Rattus norvegicus: one gene and its partners. The protein of the gene in region 2 purifies or fractionates together with the protein of the main gene of each other region. This does not show direct contact. Links are inferred from orthologs where the notes say so. Each region holds a gene or a part of one and is shown on either strand. Other genes may lie near its edges.

Region 1 (3,994 bases), on a different chromosome or scaffold from region 2:
GCTCTCTTCTGAGGGTTACACCATATAGCTCTGACTGGCCTGGGTATAACTATGTAGAACAAGTTTTTGCTTCCTGAGTTTCAGAATTGAAAGCATGTGCACTTTCACACATGGTTAAGCCTTTTGTTCTTTATCACAAGACCATGTGTTTGCCATTCAGGGCCAGGGATACATGATACTCAAATATGTATCACTGATTACGAATGCCCACTCTCTGTGACAGTGGGTGTTTTTTTCTTTGTTTCCACTCTCTGTGAGGGTGTTTCCTTCTTAATTTTCTCTCTGATTGGAGAGGAAGAGGAAGTAAGGGAGGAATGCAGGTAAGGGGAAGGAGGAAGATGAAGGGAGATCGAAAAAGAAGAAAACAAAAATCAAGAATAAAAGCAGTCACGCTTTAACAACCCTGCTACGTTTTCGTATTTTCATTCTTAAGGAAAAAGGATTGTGATACTTTTATATTAGCCATATAAGAGGTTTGGCGTCCAAGCTCATTATGCGGCAGGGGTCCATCCTCAAATACTTTCGACCTGGCTCATTTCTTACTAGCTACCTAGAAACTCCCCAGCAGGATAAAGTAAGAGGTCGCCTTGGCTGCTCTATTTCTTCAGGGTAAGAGGGGACTTTAACAAAGCCTTTAACACCACCAGCCCTTGAACGCCACCAGCCCCAGGGCCGCGTTCTAGAAACTGAGCAAGGCAAATCTCCCTACTTAGGAGTTCCTTCTTTAGAGACCGATATAACAGCCGCAGAAGCACAACCAGACCAGCCTGTTCTTCATTACGTCACGCACAGTTCCCAAGGCTCGGGTTTGAGTCTTCGAGTCTCCCCAAGAGATCATCATCGCCACCTCCCATTCTCGACTCTCATTGGCAGCTAGACCTGCTTGTTCCCGTGGTTGCCAGCAGCGACGCAGGCGGGCACAATTCTGGTCACTAAGATACTTAACTTCCGCTTCCGCTCGTCCTTCGGAAAAACATCTGATTCATCCGGCCAATGGTGAATGAGAAGTAGGCGGGACTTGGTTGGTTCAGACCAAACAGACGCGAGCTTGTGCGGCAATGGCGGCGGGACAGCCCCTGTAGCGCGGCTCGGGCGCCCCCACGTCCGCTTTGCGTCCTTTCCCCGCACCGCCCCTCCCGAGCCCGGATTCCGCCCGGAGCTCGCTGCTGCCTGATAGAAACGCCAGGGAGTCAAGATGGCAGCTGCCGACGGCGACGATTCGCTCTACCCCATTGCGGTGCTCATAGATGAACTGCGCAATGAGGACGTTCAGGTGCGGGGATCCTTCCGTTAGAGTGTGTGGGGGAGATCGGGGACGGGGATCTTCGCGGAATGTGGGAGCGATGGCTCAGGGTTCTCCGGGAGTGGCGGAAAGCAGCGGCGGCCAATCAGAATTCAGGTCTCATCTTTCTTGATGGCAAGGTTCGATGAGATGGCAGCCTTCATTGGGTGCCCAGCCAAGCGGAGGGCAAGCCTCGAGGGTCCCACCTGAGTGCGCGCGGCAGCCCCGGATCTGGGCCTGGGCGGCCCGAGATTGGGTGGCGGTCTTGCTGCCGCCTTCCAGTCGGTGATTGGCGGCCGACACAGAATGGCTCTCTGTAGGGAATCGGCGGGGGCGCGTGACCTGCTGAGTAGGGGAAGCCCTCAGGGGTCCTGGCGACCTGGGTGGAGTTACCATCGCTTTTAGTGTTTTTGTTTATTTTAACTGGAACGAGTGGGGATTGATAACTGGGACTTCTATCCGTTCTTCACGGACCTCCGCCTTGCATTTTGTGGTATCTCTCCTGAAGGAGGAAGGAGACTGTGAAAGTATGCTCTCCAGAGATTTAACCTAGCCTTATCTGGGATAGGTCACGTGTACACACCCACCTGTTCTCCAACTTTGTCCCAGGCCTGTCTGCCAAGCGAGTTGATAGTTCTGGTTCACGGGAAAAAAATGAGCCAGGACCCCTGAGTTTGCTTTGGTTTTGAAAAAGAGGTCAGACCTCAAGGCCGCATCCTTTCACCTGAGGATGACCTTGTGTGCACATTATTTCATCCCCCCTGGCTTCTGTTTTCTACAAATACCAGCTAATAATAGCCCTGGCTTCCCTGGGTGGCTGAGGAAAAGTAGTAAAATAAAACTGGCTGTTTGTAAAGGCTCTATAAATGTTAGCTATTATTTTGGGGGTGTGGCTATTGTGGCACTACGGCCTTCTACTTTTCCTTTTATATAGAATTGTTCATGCTGCACTTGGTCAATTTCCTGAGCCTGGCCTATCTAAGTTTTATGTATTTATGTCTGACTCTGGTTCCATTATCAGCCAGGCTGGATTTGTACTCCTGGGTCTTGCACTTTTTGCTAATTGATTCAGGCAGTCTGTATTTCTCTTCTATTAAGTGAGAATAATCTGGTTTTGAGCATACTGTATGAATTTATGTGTGTGTGCTCTGTAAACACATGCAAAGGATGAGGGATGTTGTTGGGGTCATAAAGGAGACCAGAACCTGGTATAGTGGTGCATGCTAGCAATCACAGCACTCTGGAGGCAAAAGCAGTGTCAAGGCTAGCCTAGTCTACATAGTGACACTGTATCAACAAAGAAAAAGGCTGGTTGCTATACAAAGGCTAGGTGTGAAACAGGCAAACAGAACTAAATCTGCATATTACCACATGTAAGAAACCAGATCTGTCAATGTTGAAATAGTGAATCAGCAAATGTTTGTTGGACATCAGAGTGTCTCTAGATGTTGACAGCTGGGAGCAAAAGGACAAAACTTGCCTTAAGGGATTTTAGTGAGTAGTGACAGATAAATAGGTATTATGTTGACTATGGAAAATATTAAGAAGAAAATAAGAAATATAGGGTACAATATTAAAGTAAGCATGGGAAAGTCTTGTAGAAATTTGAAATAGTACCTGCTTTTGGAAGGAGCCATTAGGTTCTGGGTAGAGTGTGTATACTAGACAGATGAGTAAGGAATTAAGCCAGTCAAGGGAAGCTCCTTTCAGGATGGAAAGTTTAAAAATTTGGAGAAGATAATTCCAGAAGGAGGGTATGTCTCTCTCTCTCTCTGTGTGTGTGTGTGTGTGTGTGTGTGTGTGTGTGTGTGTGTGTGAATGTATGCAATGGCTATAGTTATAGTTTTTTGCCTCCAAGGATGTTTAGTAATGTCTAGGGGATGGTTTGGTTGTCACAGCTGGAGATTGTTACTGCTTTTAGTAGGTTGAAGTCATGAATGCTGTTAAACATGATTGCAGTATATAAGACATCCTTCATAGGAAACAAAAAAAGTCCCTCTTTTAAAAAAAAAAATTTTTTTTAGTGCTAAGGTTGAAGGAAGCTGTTGGATGAAATGTTCACCCAGAGACAATAAGGAACTTGTTTAGCTAGGTCAGCTGGCCAGTTTTGTCAGAATTCTGTAACAAGTCACTATAAAGTAAATATAAAACAACATAAAGTTTTATTATGTGTTTCCAGAGATCAGAAGTCTGTCAGAGATCTTGCTGGGTGAAGGTGACCTCATGACAGCATAGCCTTGAAATAGGCAATAGGGCTACGCAGCTTTCTGCCACTTTACTCAAACATTCAGAGTGCCATCTTCCTGAAGAAAACAATGCACGTTGTGAACAAAATCAAAACTAGAGTGAGAGAACTGTCCACAAATGGACAGTTTTCCAGCAGCATCCTCACCTGTTAATATTGTTTTTCTAGAAGACCTCAGAGCCTTGTGGGAATAACCAACCCGAGCATACGGGGAACAATCTGTAGATGATACATGCTACTATGACTGGCATGAAGATTATGAATGGGATGGTAGTTTCTCCCTGATACCATCTACTGTCCTTAGGGCTGCTGCTTACTACTCACCAGTTGTCACCCTGGCCCATTATTTCCCACAGTGCAGCTAGGAGAGGAGCACAAGCATGTTAAAAAAAAAAAAAATTGAGGCAAGGATGTTGAAAAACTAGTTTACAAGTCATCAAAATATAGCCGTAGTACCATATCCATCT
Region 2 (3,500 bases):
TTTGGGATTGAAAACTTCCCTGTCTAATGGATTCCTGTTGACTGGCTGGCTCTAACTGCTTTGGTAGGTAATCTTAACATGCAATTCTGATTCTACTTGTACTGCAAACTCCAAAGCTACAATCACACTAACAGTTATGTGCTTAAGTGTGAGAATGGTGAACATGTAAGGGGCATGTATCATACACATACAGGTACACTTCCATTTGGGCAAAAGTTAATTTGGTTCCATAGATAGAAGTGCTGGCAGCATGAGAATAAATGTAACAATTTGGTAAACTCTATAATTCTGACTTACAATATTACAAAGAGTGACTTTTAAGTTATTGCTTTCTGATCACAGAATGAAGAGTTCATCGTGTCACTTCCTAGTCAAGTAAAAGCAACAGAACCAGAAGGTCCCGTGGCGATGCTTGAGGATGGTTTTGAATGGAGATGTGATTTCACTGTTCAAAACCTGATGCAGGAAACTGAGAATGACTTGATTTTTCATGAGAAAATCAGCACCCCAACTGCTAAGTGCTCTGGAGGGTTTCTCAAGGGCTTTACAGAGCTCAGCCTGACGGAGTTCACGCCCTTCAGAAGGATTCCACTGTACTTATGCAAACCTCGTTTCAGAACACAAAGCTGGCATTAAACAGTCAGAGAGGATTAAAAGCAGTGTTGGTTTTTGACATTCATATTCACAGAGGATCTTATTTTCTGCAAGAAATGCTATGTCTTTTGTTTCTGCCGAAGAATCACATTCATGTGGCAGTGGATTTCAGGCACTTTTAAAACATGTTCATCTGGAATAAAAATCTGCACAAACCACTTCTGCATACTTTGAAATGAGTGCTGAGTAGTTCTAGCTCCCAAACTGACAGCAGAGCACAGCCTGCCTCAGTCAGCTTTCCCATCGCAGCATGCTGGTGACTGTTGACTTGAGATGCACGGTGTCTGAGTCCCCCTCTAGCTTAGTACAAAGAGGTGAAACCCAAAGTACTCAGTTTCTACTTAAAAAAGTACAAAAAGTAAATACACTGAATGTACTACACATACGGCCGTAGCTACTATCAAATAAATAACAGATCTGACTCCAGGGCTTCACTCTGCGGCCTTGGACGAGTCTGGTGGAATGTCAAGTGTCGAGACTCACTCCTGGGGACTAGCTGCTGGTGGGCACAAGCATCTCAACATCTTTGCCATTGGCCACCACGGCACTGGGAGAGCAGCTGCTGGCAAGGTCTTCTGTGGTGGTCAAGGAGGATGCCTGGGAATGAGTCTTGGTCCCTGGAGTGGCGACAGACTGTGAAGGAGTGAGGCCAGGTTTTTTGGGTGGGATTGGTGGAGGGTTTCCTCTCTCAGCTCTGGGGATGGTTGGGGACTTGATTCCCGGAGAAAGGGGGCTCAGAGGGCTGGACACCTTCCCTGGAGTAGGTGAATGGCTGGTGTCGCCTCTAGGATTGGCAGTGCTGACCAGATTTCGGTAGTCTGTCCCAAAAGGAGAACTGTTGGGAGAGACTGGCTTAATTGGCCCTTGGTTAGTGAACCTGGAGAGCACCTGAGTGACAGTGTTTCGGGCCAGCTGCTTGGCAGCAGAGTTGTCTAATAGGGTAGGGGACAGGTCCCTGGATGGAGGGCTCTGGAGACCACTGGCTTGCTGATCCTGATCTGCCTGGGACTGAAATCTGTGCCGAGCTGCATGGAAACGCTGGTTGACCCCTACTTGGTAGGAAGACTGGTAGCCTGGGCTGCTGACTGATGACCCCAAGAGACGCTTGGTTAGAACTGGTGAAGAGCAAGGAGATGATGTCAGAGAGGACGAGGCAGTGCTGCTGGGAGACAGTGAGCTGCCACTGGAAGGGAGATGACTGGGCATTGTGACTGGAATCTCAGTTCCTACAGGACACCCACCATTCTCCATCGGTTTCTCCTGGGCCGGTACTGCCGATTTCTCCCGTGGAGGCCCTTGGTTTTCTGTGCTGCTGTCTGAGGTCAGCTCCCTGGTAGTCTGTGTCTCGGGGTCACAGTGGCCATTAGCTTTTGCATATGGGTAAGGAGCACTGCTGGGACCTGGAAGCCCAGTGTCTGTCAGCTTGGTCATGATGCTGCTGTGGCTTCTTTCTGTCTGAATGCTCTCTGTTTGGCAAAACACAGACACTCGCATGGGAGGCTCTGTGGCTGTGCCTCTGGATGTGGTCACTGGCTCCCGGCCCTGCTCACTGCTGTTGCTGTGCTGCTGGGCTGCCTCTAGGTCTTTCACAAGCTTCTTCAAGCTCTCCATCTCTTCCTTCAGGGCTCGGGTCCGGTTCTCCTCTCGGTTCAGTTTGGCTCTCAGCTGCTCCCGTTCGATATCAAACTCAGACAACTGCTTCTCCACCTGGGCCTCTGTCTGCAGGCCCCGCTTCCGCTCGGCTGCCAACTCTTCCTCTAGTTTACTCGCCCGGCTCTTCTCCTTCTCCAGCTTCAGACTCAGCTCTCCAGCCTTCTGCCCCTCCTCGGCTGCCTTGCTGGTGGCCTTCTTGCACTCAAGCACCAGCATGGAAGACAGCTGCTTGTGGCGGGAACGCTCCTCCTCCAGCTGACTAGATAGCTTCTTCTGTTCTTTTTCAAACTTCTTCACTTGGGACTTTTCAAATTCCAACTAGGAAAAAAAAATGCCATCACACATCTTGATTAGAGTAGGAAAACAACAGGATGCACTGAAAATTACGATGGCGCAGAGCGCGCTCACTGGCTGCTCTCCGGTATTAGTTTGTACGCCATGGTGCTTAGGTTAATTAGTATTTTTGAAGTATGAGAACAGCCCACACAGAACCCCCACACACTATGATTTAATCTTTTCTTGATGACTTGGGAGGCATTTGAGTTCCTAACTGCCTCAGGGTGCACAGCGGGAATATGACGCACCGTTGTGTTTTAGGTATGCGGAGAGGCCATAGACTCAGCCAAAACAAATAACAGAATACCATGTAAGCTGGATCTGGGCATGGACGCTGTTGGAAATCAAACTTAAAGTTGCAGCAATCATTTTGTCTGACCTTAAAAAGAAAGTAAGAAATACAGACAGCTGCAATGAAACTGCTGCTTCTGTTGTCTAAGACTCACTTTCAAATTGAAATCCTCCTTCCATCTGGCAGAACCACCATCCTTGGATCTGTTTTACTGTCTAACATTATCATACAGACTCTGGATGAGAGGGAACAGGGTGATCGAACCCTTCTAATCAGGAATTCCCAATTCAAGACATACTCATAGCTGGGGAAACCAGTTCAGTACCATCACCACCACATAGTACAAGAATAAACAAACAGTTGGTTCATGTCCTGTGATCTTTGTGTTGAGGAAATGATTTAATCCCAATCTGGGGTTTCTACCCCACCTTTATCATTCAGTTTCTGGATAAAACACACACACCCTTTGTATTTACGATAAGCCTTAGTCAACACCAGAGCTGGACAGACATCTACCCTCTGTGCTTTTAGAGTCTACTTTCCTATTGGTAACTCCGACTTATTT
Region 3 (4,112 bases), on a different chromosome or scaffold from region 2:
CTGGCCCTCGAATTCTGAGATCTGCCTGTCCCTGTCTCCTGGGACTAAAGGCACCTGGCCAGGTCTTACTTTCTAATTCTCTCAACAGACTACAAAACCCAAAGAGGAAAAGAAAATCCCCAGCGAATCTCATCAAAACAGTCAGGTGTACAGCCCGAAACTCCTCACCAAAGATCACTAGAGTTGCCCATCAATCACAGCTACTGAGTGAGGGGGAAAACACACACACACACACACACACACACACACACACACACACACACATTCATCTTATCTTTCTTTCTTCAGCAAATACAACCTAAAACAAAATGGTGTTTAACACTGGCAAAGGCAGAGTGAAGACCTGGGTTTAATCACTGTATGCCTTTCTACACACTACTTTACCTTGGTCCATTCAAACCCTTCCTCATTCACAAAGTTACAAGACGGTATAAGTAACCTCTTCCTCCATCAGACCAGCAATCAACAACAGATATAAAGTGATTAGCAGGCCATAAAGTCCTTATACAAAAGAGTTCCTGAATTCGACTTATTTCCCTCGGGCTGTCTGAGTCTGCTGCCTTGCCGAACTTTGTCCAGTTCTTCTGAGACTGGGTCACAGGATTAACCTTGGCTAGCCTAGAACTCCCTAAGGTAACCCAGGCTGGCCTTGAACTGACAGAAATCCTCCTGCCTCGACCCTACCACACCCCACTTGCCAAAACACTTAACCCAGTTCCTCCTAAACCCTAGCCAGGAGTCTGCAGGGAGTTTGTGGGGCAACAGGGAAGACCTCTTCCTCTCCAGCTTTATCCTAGACAAGAGTCAAGGCCAGGCAAGCCTCTCATGTGATCCTCAAAACAGCTCCTAGGGAGGCAGGCTGCAGCTCCTGACTCCAAGTTGAAAATAAATGTACTGGTTTTTCTTTTCTGGAGGGAAGGGAAGGATAGGAACAGTCTCCAGTAATGCACTAAAAATGTTATCATGTGGTTTGAAGACATAGAGAGGGGCAGGTTGGGCTGTGAAAAGCCAGTATTCCTCCTTGGCAGAACCAGAACAGACAAAAAAAAAAAAAATTAATACTGAGAAAAGGCTATCATCTCCATACCGAAAAACAAAATTAAAAAGGCTTCCTCTCAAGAACACACAGGAAATACACTTTTTAGGTAAAGTTATTGAATTTTTCTTTTCCCAAAGTGAAGAATTTTGGCCCATTCTTTAAAACAAACAAACAAAATGAGAGAGCAGCCCCCAGCTAGGAACCACCTGGTACTGACCTCCCACACATGAATGAAGAAAACGTGGAAAAACGTGCTTTTAATGTGCCAAGAGGTCCTTTTTGCTGTACAGGTAAGAAACTGTCGCCCGGTTGACCCAGGTGTTTTGTCTCTAAAGTCGAACCAAGGCAAGAGTTGTAGGAGGCCGCGGCTGACTTTCAACTTGTGGCCAGCAGCATCAGGTTTTACACCGGGCTCGCAAGGTGAGACTTCAAGAATACTTTGAGAGCACCTTTCCAGTGACACTCAATTCCAACTTTATTATTCCTCAAAAATAAAAAGGGCTCAAGCTCTAATGGCCACTAAAGTGGTAACTTTGAATTCCTATTCTTCCAGAGTTCAAACCTGGACAAAGAAATCCATTTTCCTTCCCGAGGTATGAATTAAAAAAGAAAGAAAGAAAACAGGGATGGAAAATAGTTTCAGAAGAAGCAGAAGCAGTAAGAGGCAAGGCCCGTGCCGCTCAACCCAGGAGCCCGAGAGAAAGCGCCTGCTGCGTCTGTAGACTGATCATCTCGGATATTCTGAGGTTTTATTGTTTTTTGTTTTTTGTTTTTTTTGCTTTTTTAAAGCAAAACTCTTCCGTTCACTCACTTGGGAAAACAAAACTTTGACTGGTCTTGCGGTGTTAATCGCAATCATTTTGTCTGCATTATACGCTCACAAACTTTACAAGAACAGACCAGTGATTGTTTTTCAAAGTACAGAAAAACATCCTCAAAAGCAAAAAAAAAAAAAAAAAAAAAAAAATGTTCGTGCATCCATGTAAACTTGAAATTCAACTCCCTCCCCTCACCGCCCCCTTCCCCTCCAAAGAAAAAGTCACTGGCGAACTAAGAAGATACAAAGAGTGCAGGGAGAAGCAAGCTAGCACACAGCTGCTTTGGATGCCATCGTGTCTCAAAGTGAAAGTCTAGCAGCGGAGACCTGGCATCCGAGGGGTGAACCTGGGCTCTGCACGCCAGGGCACTCGCAGAGGTGTGGGTTCCGCCTCCCGGGTTTGCAACCTCGCACTTTCCACACCAGAACTACAGGCTTGGACGCGAGGTTACACCTTCCTGCACCCCGCCCTGCGGCCCGCCCGGCTGGGACCAGCCGGGGCGCGCTCCCCGTCCCGCGCTCCCGTCTCCCGTCTGGGGGTTCTGGGGAGGGACTCTTGGGGACTGAAGACCCTGGAATCCCGCTGTCCCTGTGCCAGGCCCAAACAGGGCCCAGGCACCCAAACGGGGCCTCCAAGGACACTAGTTCAGACTCCTGCCCCGAATGAGCGCTTGGCCTGAGCGTCCGAGTTGGGGAGCACAAAGCTCCTGCACCCCACCTCGACCCGAGGCCGCAGACCCCACGGCCCCTCCACGTGCACACACCCGAGATCCCGGCTGCTCCGGTCGGCGAAGATCCCGGAGAAACGGGCCCGGCCGTTGGGGGGAGGGGGGGCGTGTTGACACCGCCAAGTTGCCCGCTTCCGCCACGGCCCGCAGCCCGACCCGGACGCCCCAGCCTACCTGCATGCCCGGCAGGCCCGACTGCACCGGGGAGTGGGCCATGGCTCTCGGCGCCGCCACTTCCTGGCCCGGGACGCGCGGAGTCGCGCGGCGAGCAGGCCCGGGGCCGCGCGCAGCCCTCGGGTGGCGGGGCGGGCTCTGGAGCCCGAGGCCACCGCACCCCGGGGACGGTCTCAGCGAAGGTTGGCGGGCCGCGGCCCCATACACCGAGCCTGGGGCGGGCAGCGGGGACAGCGGGAATGTCTCCTGATTGCGGCTGTTTCTCCTAGGCTCCCGCCGCTGCGCCGCCGCGGTGCTCGGGTCGAGCCGGGCGGCCTGGGCCCGCGAGCGCTGGCCGCCTGGAGCCGAGTGGGCGCGCACAACCCGCCGCGCCCCGCCCCGGCCCGGCCCCCGCGCCCGCCCCCGCGGCCCGGCCGGGGACCCCGCCCCGCGCTTCCGGGAGGGGGAGGGGGAGGGGAGGAGCCGCCGGGCGCCCTAGGCCGCAGTGGGGCCTCCCTGCGGGCGCGCGGGCGGGGTCCTCGGGGCTCAGCGGGCGCTCTCCGGGTGCTGCGTGGCCGGGTCCTTCGGAACCGCGGGGTGGGCCTCGCGCGCGGAGCAGAGCTGAGCCCGGGGGAGCGGAGAGCACCACCCACTCCTACTCTTCCCTCTTACCCGCCCCGGCCCTCCAGAGGCCAGAGTCTGCACTCGGGGTGTCCCCAGAGGGGCCTAGCCTGGGGCCTGTTCCAAAAGACTCGGGCGGAGCGTCCTCGCTGTCCGTACGAAGTTTCCAGCCAGATCAAGGAGGAAACCCCAAGGGTAGAGAGGGCAGTTTGTGTGCAGTGCCTTGGATACTGAACTCAACCTCGCCTGGGCCGCCGGGTGTGGAAACTTAGCTGGACGGAGGAAGGGCTGGGCCCCCGCCATCTCTGCGCTGCGCACAAGAAGGGGAAAGTGAGGTGCGGAGGGGTGACGGAGGAAGAGAAGACAATGGAAGGAAACCACGGTCTGGACTCTTACCCAGCCCTCCCCTCGCTTTACTGCTCCTAAGGCCGCGGGCCCACTCTGGGCACCAGCTCTGCCCTCCTTCTAAACTGTTTCTTCTGCAGCAAACAAGGACCGATGGAGTGAATCCATGCGCCTCCAGGAAGTACTGTATGTACTAGTGACAAATAGGAAGTGGTCTAAGAGTCAGAATCGCTCTGCCTCGGGCCATAGGGACCCTGAGACCTCATTCCTGAATGCCCATTTTGCCCCTCGGCTGTGCAAGGTTAAGCATACAAAGTGAGTCCCCAGGAGTTCAGAAATAGAAGATAAGGAAGAGATTATTTTCTGAGGTGTCCTTGTATTCCAAGAACACAGGCTCCCTCAAGGTCCT
Region 4 (3,054 bases), on a different chromosome or scaffold from region 2:
TCAAATTTCCTTTAACCTATTATTATAGATGTTTGTACTATTCTATAATAAGGGACCTGTATTAATCCAGAAAGTTACAGATAATGAAGCCTACTGTCTCATATTCTTTAATAATCACTCCTCGGATGTGCATGGTACTTCCTGAAGAAATATAACAACTAATAAACAATCAGCTTATATAAATCTAAAAAAAAGGAGTGGAAACCTGTAATGTTACATGTACTCGAATAAGAACGTAGTCAGTGACATTTTCTGTCTTTTCATCCTAACATGGAAAGATAGGGCAAAACCTGGGCTGTCTGGTTCAGTAGAAATGTACCTTCCCATAGCTCAATAAAATCATTCCAAAAGCTAACACTGGGTTGGGCAGATGGCTCAGTGGGAAAATCCTTGAAGTACAAGCACAAGGGTCTGAATTCAGATCTCGAGCACCAGTGTTCTGGTCAGGTGTGACTGAGTCCACAGAACTTCAGCACTGGAGGGCAGAGAAGAATGTTCTCGGAATCATTAAACAGGGCAGGCTTCAGGTTCAATGAGAGGCCTTGCCTCAAAATATAAGGTGGGAGGAAGTAGAGGAACAATTCCAAGGTTGACATCCTTTCAACCCAGGCCCATGTGGGAGATAACTCACCCATGTAAATAACTAACTCTCTCTTTGTCTGTGTCTCTCTGTCTCTCTGTCCCGCCCCCCTCAAAGCAGATGTTTACGTTTGGCAAGAAACAATTCTGTTTTCAAGCATACAACTATTAAAACATGATCTTGCAGGAAAAACGTAGGAAATGGCTACATAAAAGTGACTTTATTACATCAGAAACTCACATCTAAAATGCCAACAGAAGTTTGAAAATGACCCTTCAAACTTACTTTTGAAATTTTTCGATTAGTTTCTTCACCATTTTATCTGTGATGCCAGGACAGGCAGCTTCGGCCACAGCAATACTTTTCTCAAGTTCTTCAATTGCCTGGTTTCGGCTTGCATTGTTCTCATCCTGCTGTTTAAGCTGAAAGAGAGTGATGGCTCTAACATTGAAAATACCCTGCCACCTGAGAGAGATAGTGGATACTAAATAACCCACACTTACTTCAGCAAATGCAGGTGTGATTATCATAGACAAACAGCTCAGGGTTTGCACAAGATCTTGCTCCTTTGAAGAAAGAATACAGATTATACATACGAAATTAAAATAATCCTTCATGGCTTCCCTGAGTTACGTGATAACAAATGTGAATCAATTTGAATTCCTCCTTCAAAAGACAGAAGATAAAGCCGGTCCCTATGTTTTCTTTCTGTCACAAACTGTCATCCATCAGGGTAAGTCCCCAAACGTCTAGGATTGCAACAGATAACTGATTCCGTGGGTTCACATATCTCTACATGGAATGAATTTTAAGTAACAGTGGCCATTTCGATGACTTCTGTGACTTAATTAGGTCACAATTAATAATAAATAAAACTGATTATATATAGCGAGGAAGACAGGTATGCAGGGGAATGAAATTGTAGCAGTTTTGCACGTTACTATACCATAACACTATTTTTAAAAGTCTATCAGGAGGTCATGATCAGATGAGAACATAATATAATGACCTGTTTATGAAGATTATATGATGAAGATTATTACTTTGCACACTAAATAAATAAGTGAATAAATGAATAGATAGATAAGTGAGTGAGTAGATAGATAGATAGATAGATAGATAGATAGATAGATAGATAGATAGATAGATAGATAGATTAGCTCCATACACATACTTCCCCATTCTGCAGTTTCTTTGGATCAGGCTTCTTACGCACAGTGGTGAAACTCCATTCAGGGTGGGTATTACTTTCCCTGCTGCTGGATTCCCTAAAGAAATGCCAAGGATGCATAAGTGATTCAGCACAGGAAAAACAAAAGAACAAAAACTAAGAAAAAAACCCCAAAACCCAAAACCAAACCACCGAATCAGTGAAAGAAGACTCGGAAGAGCTCTCTAACAGAACATGTCACCTCAGTTTCGGGTGGTTCCACTATTTCACGCAACAACAGCAGTATTTTCTCAGCTCTTCATGTTCACCCAAACCCTCTGTGGAGAGCCATCTGTGTCCATACTGCCATTTCCCCATGCCTGAACCACGATCTCTAGTGGCATGCTTTGTGTTTTTAAAGTTTCACCGAGAAGTTATGGTTAACAAGCCTTAGATTGGGCACAAACTATCAAGATGTTTTATTCATTTCAAATATTAGGCAGTTTCTCATAGATGCAGGTGCCTGAGAACACTGTGTGGAGAACTGGAGTGCTGCCTTGTGGAACTCCTGAAATCCTGGTGCAGCCCTTGCACTCTCCTACTCAAATTAAGATAAACGCACAGAAGCAGAACTATTAACATAAAAACTTTTCCATGGGGTAAAAACCATACATAAGCAAATAGGTGTAGCAGTTCACAGTTCAGGCTGATCACAGTTTGGTCCATGGCCAGAAAGTAGGAGAGGCCATTAGATCAGTTCTCGAAAGGGTCGCACAGGTTGTCATCACAATATGAGAAAACATAGTTCCTTATTGCTTCTTGTGAACTAGAACTCCTACAGTCAAATCATATTCCAAAATTTTGTAATATACTCAAGTATCCACTAGGGGTTAGACCAAGACCATTTAAAAGCAGAGCTTTCCCCTTTAAAGCATGTTTCCAAATTCATTGTAGTCCACAGACTGTAAAGAACTTCCCATTGGCCAAAGTGACTGCTTGAAATATGAGTAATCACTTAGTCTAAAGTAAGCATCCCAGGTCACTGTGAAAAGGCAAAGAGTATGCAGACGGACCTGCCTTTAAGAAAAAACCTGTGGTAATTTATACATACGAGTCAGAGCCCTCAGAATCGGATTCCTCATCACTGTGGCCTTCTGCCTTCCATCTCTTAAATCGATCAATCAACTCAGTCAGATAAGAAGTCTTCTTTGAATTTTTTACGATGAACTTATGCTTCAAAAGTTCTTTAGCCGTAGGACGCTAAGGCGCAAACACAGAAAAAAATGAAGGACATATGACTATGTTAAGGAACTTCGGGATTAAG
Region 5 (3,500 bases), on a different chromosome or scaffold from region 2:
TTTTGTGTGTATAAAAGGTATTTATTTCTAAGCTATAAACTATAAAGGATCAGTGGAGTGAGGAGGCAACTATTCACTTTCGGATGTCTTCCAAAAGTCTGTCTCTGACTCGGGTTCTAAGTGTCTCCTCTAGGCTCTTTAAACAGATAACCTTTGACTGCAGCTAAGTAGAATGAGCTACTTACTTTACACTTACGGACTTGATTAGGACTCCGTTTGGAGATGTTGACAACATACTGGGTTTACGGAAAACTGAGGCCCAACAGATCTGCAGACTGATGTCTGAATGTCCCAAGAATGAGTGGCTGCTTGGCTGGCTGCAAATTAACTGCACTAGGACCTAAGAAAAGGCTCTTTCCACCAGCTGTGTGCCCACCACAGTGATCGGAGTTAGACACTATTCAGCAGCCTGGTTTCCTAGCTGAATCTTTTGTTCTAAAAAATAAAGTATGATAGAGGCTTTAATATCACTGATAAAATTTTCAAAATGAGGGGTTGGGGATTTAGCTCAGTGGTAGAGCGCTTGCCTAGTAAGCGCAAGGCCCTGGATTCGGTCCCCAGCTCCGAAAAAAAGAAAATAAAAAGAAAAAAAATTTTTCTCAAAATGAAGTCTCAGTCAGTCTCTCTCTCTCTCTCTCTCTCTCTCTCTCTCTCTCTCTCTCTCTCACTCTCTCTCACTCTCTCGTGTGTCTGTCTATCTGTCTGTCCATCCTCAGTTTCTGGTTATTTGAAATAGCATAAGTGATGATATTTTTTTTTTTTTAATCTTAAAGGTATTTGACACAGCAGAATTCTATTTTCAAATCCAGACTTTCAGTTTTTTGATCTTGCTAAAACACATCTGAGGTCTTTTGATTTTAAAGCAGGTAGAGTACCCAAGTTATGGCCCAAACATTAAAGAAGAAATGATCTATAGTAAATCTTTAACTTTTTTCCTGTCTTACATAAAATATTTTCATGTGTGAATTTATTTTTGAAAAAATCCCTGAACTCTAATAAGAAGTTGAAATAACGTGTGCAAAACTTGCCCTCTTTAACTTGCAGAGGAAACCAAAGATGCGGAGGCTCCTCCAGCCCAAAACAGCCAGCTGACGTGGAAGCAAGGCAGACAGCTGTTAAGACAGTGAGTAATGATTTCAGCTAAGAAGGAGTTATGAAAGTGCTTACATTGAATCGACTTATACGTAGAAACATTATTTTACTGTATGACTTCATAGTGCTGCTTTTAAAAATACATTTGTATCTATGTGGGCATGGGCACAGGCATGAGCCACAGCTGCTTGTGGAGATGAGAGGGCAGCTTTCAGCATTGACTCTCTTTTCACCTTTGGGACACAGGGATTAGATCCCGGTCATCAGGCTTGGCTATAGGTCACTTTATACACTCAGCTGTTACTGAAGGATGACATTGACTTCTTTCTACTATTTTCTTGCCTCCTCTCCTCTCCTTCTCTTCTCTTGTCCTTGCCTTGCCCCGCTCTCCTCTCCTCTCCTCTCCTCTCCTCTCCTCTCCTCTCCTCTCCTCTCCTCTCCTCTCCTCTCCTATTTCTTATGTGGTAGAAAAACTGAAAAAAAAAAAAACAAAAAAAACCAAAAACTGGATGACGACTTCAACTGAAGTAGTATGGCTTATATGGAGTTGGGCTGCATTTAAAAGCATTGGCTGCTCTTGCAGACATTCCAGTTTTGATTCTTAGCATCTACATTGTGGCTCACAGACATCTGTAACTCCAGTTCCAGGGGATTCGGTGCCCTTATCTGACCTCTATTGGTCATCTTAATCTAGGTACTGTGTGCCCTGTATACTTTCATAAATGTAGGGAAAGTACCTGCAACATAAAAATAGTCATTCATGTAGTACATACACTCTCACTACGAAGTTTACACACATGTGTTTGTATGAGAGGTATAGAGAAGTATTGATATTTGAAACTCTTTAAAGATGGCTTGCCAAATCCTTTTAGTTGAAATTATTTTATTCTGCATATGAGTATCTTTTCATTTCTCCGTGTGTGTGTGTGTGTGTGTGTGTGTGTGTGTGTGTGTATAAATTTATATATCTACTCTTTAAAAGATATTTATGTATGTCTGTATAGAGGCATGTCACATGTGTATGTATCTCAAAAGCTTTTCAACACTGAGGCTCTTTTAGGTATTGAGATAATTGGTTCAATCAATGTCAGTTAGTCATACTATATGCTCCCCCCTCTCCTCCCCTCCCCTTTCTCTCTCTCTCTCTCTCTCTCTCTCTCTCTCTCTCTCTCTTTCTTTCTTTCTTTCTTTCTTTCTTTCTTTCTTTCTTTCTTTCTGCTTTTTCAAGATAGGGATCCTCTGTGTAGCCCTGGTTATCCTGGAACACCTGTAGATTAGGCTGGCCTCCATATCCTGAGTACTGGGATCAGAGGTGTGTGCCACCACACCTGCCTTAATCCATTTTTCAAAAAGATTGTTTTATGTACATGAATTTTGTCTGGATGTATGCATGCTGGGTGTCCACATAAGTCAGAGGAGGGTATAAGCTATCCTGGAATGTGAGTTATGGATGGCTGTAAACCATGTGAATAATATCCCTAGCACCCATATTTCAATTTTGACTTAAAAGTTGACATCATTAGCTGGAATTAGGCTATAATGAAGTTATTGAGACGAAGAATAATTTGTGTGATTGTGAACTTTAATATGATTTGAAGGTGGCAGATGTTGACAGTCTGTTGAGTTTTAGTGTTTAATTTTATCTTGATAGGTATCTTCAGGAAGTAGGATATACAGATACAATATTAGATGTACGATCTCAGCGGGTAAGGTCATTACTTGGACTGTCTAATTCAGAGCCAAATGGATCCATAGAAGCAAAGAATTTAGAACAGATCCTGAATGGTGGTGAATCTCCTAAACAAAAAGGACAAGAAATCAAAAGGTATGATTTGTATTTGTTGATTAACATCGTTTAACTTATGGACATCAAAATCAGTGGTACAACAGAGACTTTTCATAGAGTCTCACTTTTGCTAGCTTTTCTATAGTTGTATTTATTGTTAGATATTAAATGAATCTATGGAAGCCACTTTGTTTATTAGAGAAACTTAAATTATTAGGTTTAGGAAAATAGATTATGGTTATTACCTGTTACCTGAGTAGTTTTGAAATACTTGAAAACATTTTAACAGATTAAAGACATTTTTTTTTTTTTTTTTGCTACATAAAAAATTTATAAAATGGATTGGTACCTCTTGGGTCCCAGAATCCTAACTAGATGTGGGAAGGGAATGAAGAAATGACAGACATTGGACACATACACACAGGGAAACTGGGATGGCTTCCTGGACTCTCTGATGGAGAAGGGCAGCACCCAGGAGGCTTAGTGTGTGTGTTATGGAAAACTGAACAAGGAAGCAGGGGTTCATGTTGTGCAACTGAATCAGGATTAGCTAGTTTTGGTAAGGGACAGTCTCCACAGGGGAGCAGTCTTCAAGACGTTTCTGGGTTTGGGAGTTAGACAG
Region 6 (3,500 bases), on a different chromosome or scaffold from region 2:
ATATCAAATAGAAAGAAAACTTACTTTAAAAAAATATTTATTTATTTATGACTATAGTGTAGCTGTCTTCAGACGCACCACAAGAGGACATCGGATCCCATTACAGATGATTGTGAGCCACCATGTGGTTGCTGGGAATTGAACTCAGGACCTCTGGAAGAGCAGTTAGTGCTCTTAACCACTCAGCCATCTCTCCATCCTCAAGAGAAAACTTACTTTTAGACTTACTATTTTCTGTATAATGATTAAGGAAAGGACAGTAGATTACTAAATCAGTATCTCTTTTACTTTTCTAGTTAGATGATGCTGTTGACAGGATGATATATGAAAAGGTAGTCTAAGATTTTTTTTTTTGCTCATGGAATTTCACTGTTTACAAAATTTCTTAACAGTAATATAAGAGAGATATAATCTCTGAAGCCTATAATTCCAGCACTTAGGAGGCCAGGGCAAGAGGATTGCCCTTGTTCTGGACCAGCCTAGGCTCAACAAACAAACAAACCCCAAGTAGACCAAGTTGACATGCACACGTTCACTCCGCAGAAGTGTAATGCAGGCAGCGAGACTAGCTCTGAACTGTTTAGCTGTGTAACTTGGACTTTGTCTCCTTCAGTGGAAGCATTGACGTTCCCGCCTTCTTCAGGGAAGTCATTTATCATGGGAGCAGATGAAGCCCTTGAAAGCGAGCTGGGGCTTGGAGAATTAGCAGGCCTTACAGTGGCCAATGAAGCAGACTCATTAGCTTATGATGTAAGTAGCAATTTTGTTTTTACACCATTTAATTTGTTTGAAAATTTAATAGTTGAGTTTATAGAAGAAGATGGCAGAGGTAAAATTTTCACAAGTATGAATCTTTGAATCTCAAACTTTGCAAAGATGGGTATAAAAATAAGCTAACATTTTCTAAATAACCTGGCGATTAAAGTTAGAGACTGCCTTCATCTGCAGTCACTCTAAAATGTGCATTGTTTGAGGCAGGCACCTGTGATGAGCCAATGTCTTTCTTCCTCATGGCCCCTGTCCTGCCCCTTGAGTACCCTGTCTAGTGTGCGCTCCCTGCACTGCCCGTTCACTGCTGCATGCTCACTTCTTGTCTCCTTACCCTCACACAGCCGTCCTCCAGATGACCTAGGCCATAATGGCTACAGGCAGATTTCCCACTGCCTACCTCTGTCTTCCCACCAAACCATGAAGACTTTACCCAGTGGCTAATGGAACTGGACTCCTAATGCAAGCTCACTTTTTTCCTTCTCAGGAAAAATTGATATTGTATCTTTACCCTATTTCCAAAGGTAGTTCTTTGTTTTATTAAATATGCCAGTAATCTGTTGCTAATCTAATCATTTTTAAAAATACAAAATGAACTCTGGCATTTTTGGAGGTTCTTTGTCTCATATATCTTTGTCAGATTTTTTTTTTTTTTGACCTCGTAGGTTCTTTGACTATATATTATGGTTTCCAGCTTTGTGGTATTTCTGTGTGTGATCATGTATGTCTCTTGTGTCCATACATGTTTCTTGTAATTTTTCTTTGGTTCTTTTTCCCTTTTTGTCCCATTTCAGTTGTTTTTGTTCTATGTTGTTATTCTTCAGATGTCTGTTTTCTCATGAGAAACAGAGAGGGAAGGATGGGGATTCAGATAGGAGGGGAAAGTGGGGAGGCCCTGGAAGAAATGGTAAAGGGGAACCGTAGTCAGAATATACTATGAAAAAAATCTCATTAAGAGTTTTAAAAGCATCATCTTCTGATCTCTCTGCACCCAGAGTCTGGGTGTAGACCTGGCTGGGGTCTTATATTGCTTCAGTCAGGATTTTGCCAGTGCCTGGGTTCTCTCTTGAAGACTTGGCTTGGAGAAGACCAGGCTCTGTCCCAGTGTTTGACCACCCTGGCTTCACTTGGCATCTAGTGTCCACACTTGAGTGCGTGTGAAAAGAGGAAATGCAGCAGGTCTGCAGCTCAGTGATGACCCTGGATTCTAAGTCTTCCTCCTCAGCTCTGGGTGCTGGAGTTGCAGGTGTGTGACGCCATTCTCAGCCACTGTTACATTTTCCATGTCCAGTTTATAAATCTTGTTTCCGTCTTGGTGAAGAAAGTATTAAGTCTCAAAAACTGTGACCATCGTTGGATTAACGAGCTGTTTTAGTTTGGGGCTGCATTGCTGAGATGGAATATACAACCTGAAGGGGCTTGGGCGACCTACAGTCGCACATCGCAGCCCATCGTTGGCTGTGGACGAACACTGGCCTGCTCACCTGCTTTCTTTAAGCACACGGCACCACCAGCCTGGAATGGCACTGCCCACAGTGAGCTGGGCTCTCTCACATCAGTCATCGATCAAGAAAATGCCTGACACTTGCCCACAGGCCAGGCTGGTGGGAGCGTTTCTTTACTGAGGTTTCCTCTTCCAAAACGACTCTAGTCATTGACATAGTTGACATAAAACTAGCTAGGACACAGGCATAAAGAGAAAAATCCTACCCCAGTTACTTTCTCTCTTACAGTTTGAATTGAGTTAGTTCTAATTATTCAGTCTCTCGGGCACTGTGACATAATAATTTTCAGTAAGTGCATGTTATTTGAGTCTCAGTCCATGTCTGTTTGGAAGTGTGGTGAGACTGTCAGAAGAAGCTACTTGCTTTATGGTGTTAGGGGAGCAGAGGAGGAGGTGGAGGGTTCTGCTGTCTCCTACTGTCTTGTCTAGGCTCCATCTGCTAAAGCCTCTCCGCTCCAGGAAGGCCACAGGCTGCTGACCAAGCCTTCAGCATCTGGGCGCTGGAGGACGTTCAGGATCCAGGCTAGCAACAGTAGGAACTGTTGGGGATTATTATTTACTGCATTTTAGACTGAATTATGTTAACTGTCTTTGATCGTTTTGTATTTCTCCCATGAAAACTGCTGCCACACGTTGCTAGTTTTGCTAATTGGCTTGGCTGTTTTCTTTAAAAGTATATTTATTATTTTGAGGATTGCACCATGTAGTAGTATAATAGCAAATCAGCGATCTCAGCCTGATCTTTTGTTTCTTAATAGATAGCGAATAACAAAGACGCCTTGAGGAAGACGTGGAACCCTAAGTTTACATTAAGGAGTCACTTTGATGGCATCCGAGCCCTTGCTTTCCACCCCATCGAGCCTGTGTTAATAACCGCGTCAGAGGACCACACGCTGAAAATGTGGAATCTGCAGAAAACAGCCCCAGCTAAAAAGTGAGAACATTCTACCTGCACTTGTTTTTCTAAGATTTTAGTTAAATTGTTTATCAACAGGAAAAGATACATTTTAAAAATAATTGTTACTTTTCCCAAATATAGGTAAATCCCTCAGACAGTCTAATGTTAGGTCTGACATTTAGGAAAGGGGTTGTTTTTACCTGATGTTTCCCAAGGGTTTGGAACTGCTGATTGCAGTCCTTACGCATAAGTGCTTCTCGTGGCTGTCTTATTGGTGCGGCCTCTTGTCTGTAATGAAGATCACAGTTACATAAAGAGATATAAGTAGGA

The links.
Region 1: the proteins of Cttnbp2nl (region 2) and Ppp2r1a purify together in Homo sapiens (affinity purification with mass spectrometry; 6 studies listed by BioGRID and IntAct, with this or other methods). This does not show direct contact. The link is inferred for Rattus norvegicus from reciprocal best matches to the Homo sapiens genes CTTNBP2NL and PPP2R1A.
Region 3: the proteins of Cttnbp2nl (region 2) and Stk24 purify together in Homo sapiens (affinity purification with mass spectrometry; 3 studies listed by BioGRID and IntAct, with this or other methods). This does not show direct contact. The link is inferred for Rattus norvegicus from reciprocal best matches to the Homo sapiens genes CTTNBP2NL and STK24.
Region 4: the proteins of Cttnbp2nl (region 2) and Stk26 purify together in Homo sapiens (affinity purification with mass spectrometry; 4 studies listed by BioGRID and IntAct, with this or other methods). This does not show direct contact. The link is inferred for Rattus norvegicus from reciprocal best matches to the Homo sapiens genes CTTNBP2NL and STK26.
Region 5: the proteins of Cttnbp2nl (region 2) and Strn3 purify together in Homo sapiens (affinity purification with mass spectrometry; 4 studies listed by BioGRID and IntAct, with this or other methods). This does not show direct contact. The link is inferred for Rattus norvegicus from reciprocal best matches to the Homo sapiens genes CTTNBP2NL and STRN3.
Region 6: the proteins of Cttnbp2nl (region 2) and Strn purify together in Homo sapiens (affinity purification with mass spectrometry; 5 studies listed by BioGRID and IntAct, with this or other methods). This does not show direct contact. The link is inferred for Rattus norvegicus from reciprocal best matches to the Homo sapiens genes CTTNBP2NL and STRN.

What each region holds. Positions count from the first base shown.
Region 1 is NC_086019.1:69,212,004-69,215,997, forward strand, and holds the start of Ppp2r1a (serine/threonine-protein phosphatase 2A 65 kDa regulatory subunit A alpha isoform), read left to right. Parts: upstream 1-1,194; 5' UTR 1,195-1,195; coding exon 1,196-1,273; intron 1,274-3,994. UniProt on the Homo sapiens protein: The PR65 subunit of protein phosphatase 2A serves as a scaffolding molecule to coordinate the assembly of the catalytic subunit and a variable regulatory B subunit.
Region 2 is NC_086020.1:195,197,904-195,201,403, forward strand, and holds part of Cttnbp2nl (CTTNBP2 N-terminal-like protein), read right to left. Parts: intron 2,626-3,500; coding exon 1,147-2,625; 3' UTR 1-1,146. UniProt on the Homo sapiens protein: Regulates lamellipodial actin dynamics in a CTTN-dependent manner. Associates with core striatin-interacting phosphatase and kinase (STRIPAK) complex to form CTTNBP2NL-STRIPAK complexes.
Region 3 is NC_086033.1:104,862,977-104,867,088, forward strand, and holds the start of Stk24 (serine/threonine-protein kinase 24), read right to left. Parts: upstream 2,801-4,112; coding exon 2,759-2,800; intron 1-2,758. UniProt on the Homo sapiens protein: Serine/threonine-protein kinase that acts on both serine and threonine residues and promotes apoptosis in response to stress stimuli and caspase activation.
Region 4 is NC_086039.1:135,254,386-135,257,439, reverse strand, and holds part of Stk26 (serine/threonine-protein kinase 26), read right to left. Parts: intron 2,991-3,054; coding exon 2,842-2,990; intron 1,849-2,841; coding exon 1,755-1,848; intron 1,147-1,754; coding exon 1,084-1,146; intron 1,003-1,083; coding exon 866-1,002; intron 1-865. UniProt on the Homo sapiens protein: Serine/threonine-protein kinase that acts as a mediator of cell growth. Modulates apoptosis. In association with STK24 negatively regulates Golgi reorientation in polarized cell migration upon RHO activation.
Region 5 is NC_086024.1:74,827,974-74,831,473, reverse strand, and holds part of Strn3 (striatin-3), read left to right. Parts: intron 1-1,044; coding exon 1,045-1,123; intron 1,124-2,743; coding exon 2,744-2,917; intron 2,918-3,500. UniProt on the Homo sapiens protein: Calmodulin-binding scaffolding protein which is the center of the striatin-interacting phosphatase and kinase (STRIPAK) complexes.
Region 6 is NC_086024.1:22,157,009-22,160,508, forward strand, and holds part of Strn (striatin), read left to right. Parts: intron 1-613; coding exon 614-750; intron 751-3,030; coding exon 3,031-3,206; intron 3,207-3,500. UniProt on the Homo sapiens protein: Calmodulin-binding scaffolding protein which is the center of the striatin-interacting phosphatase and kinase (STRIPAK) complexes.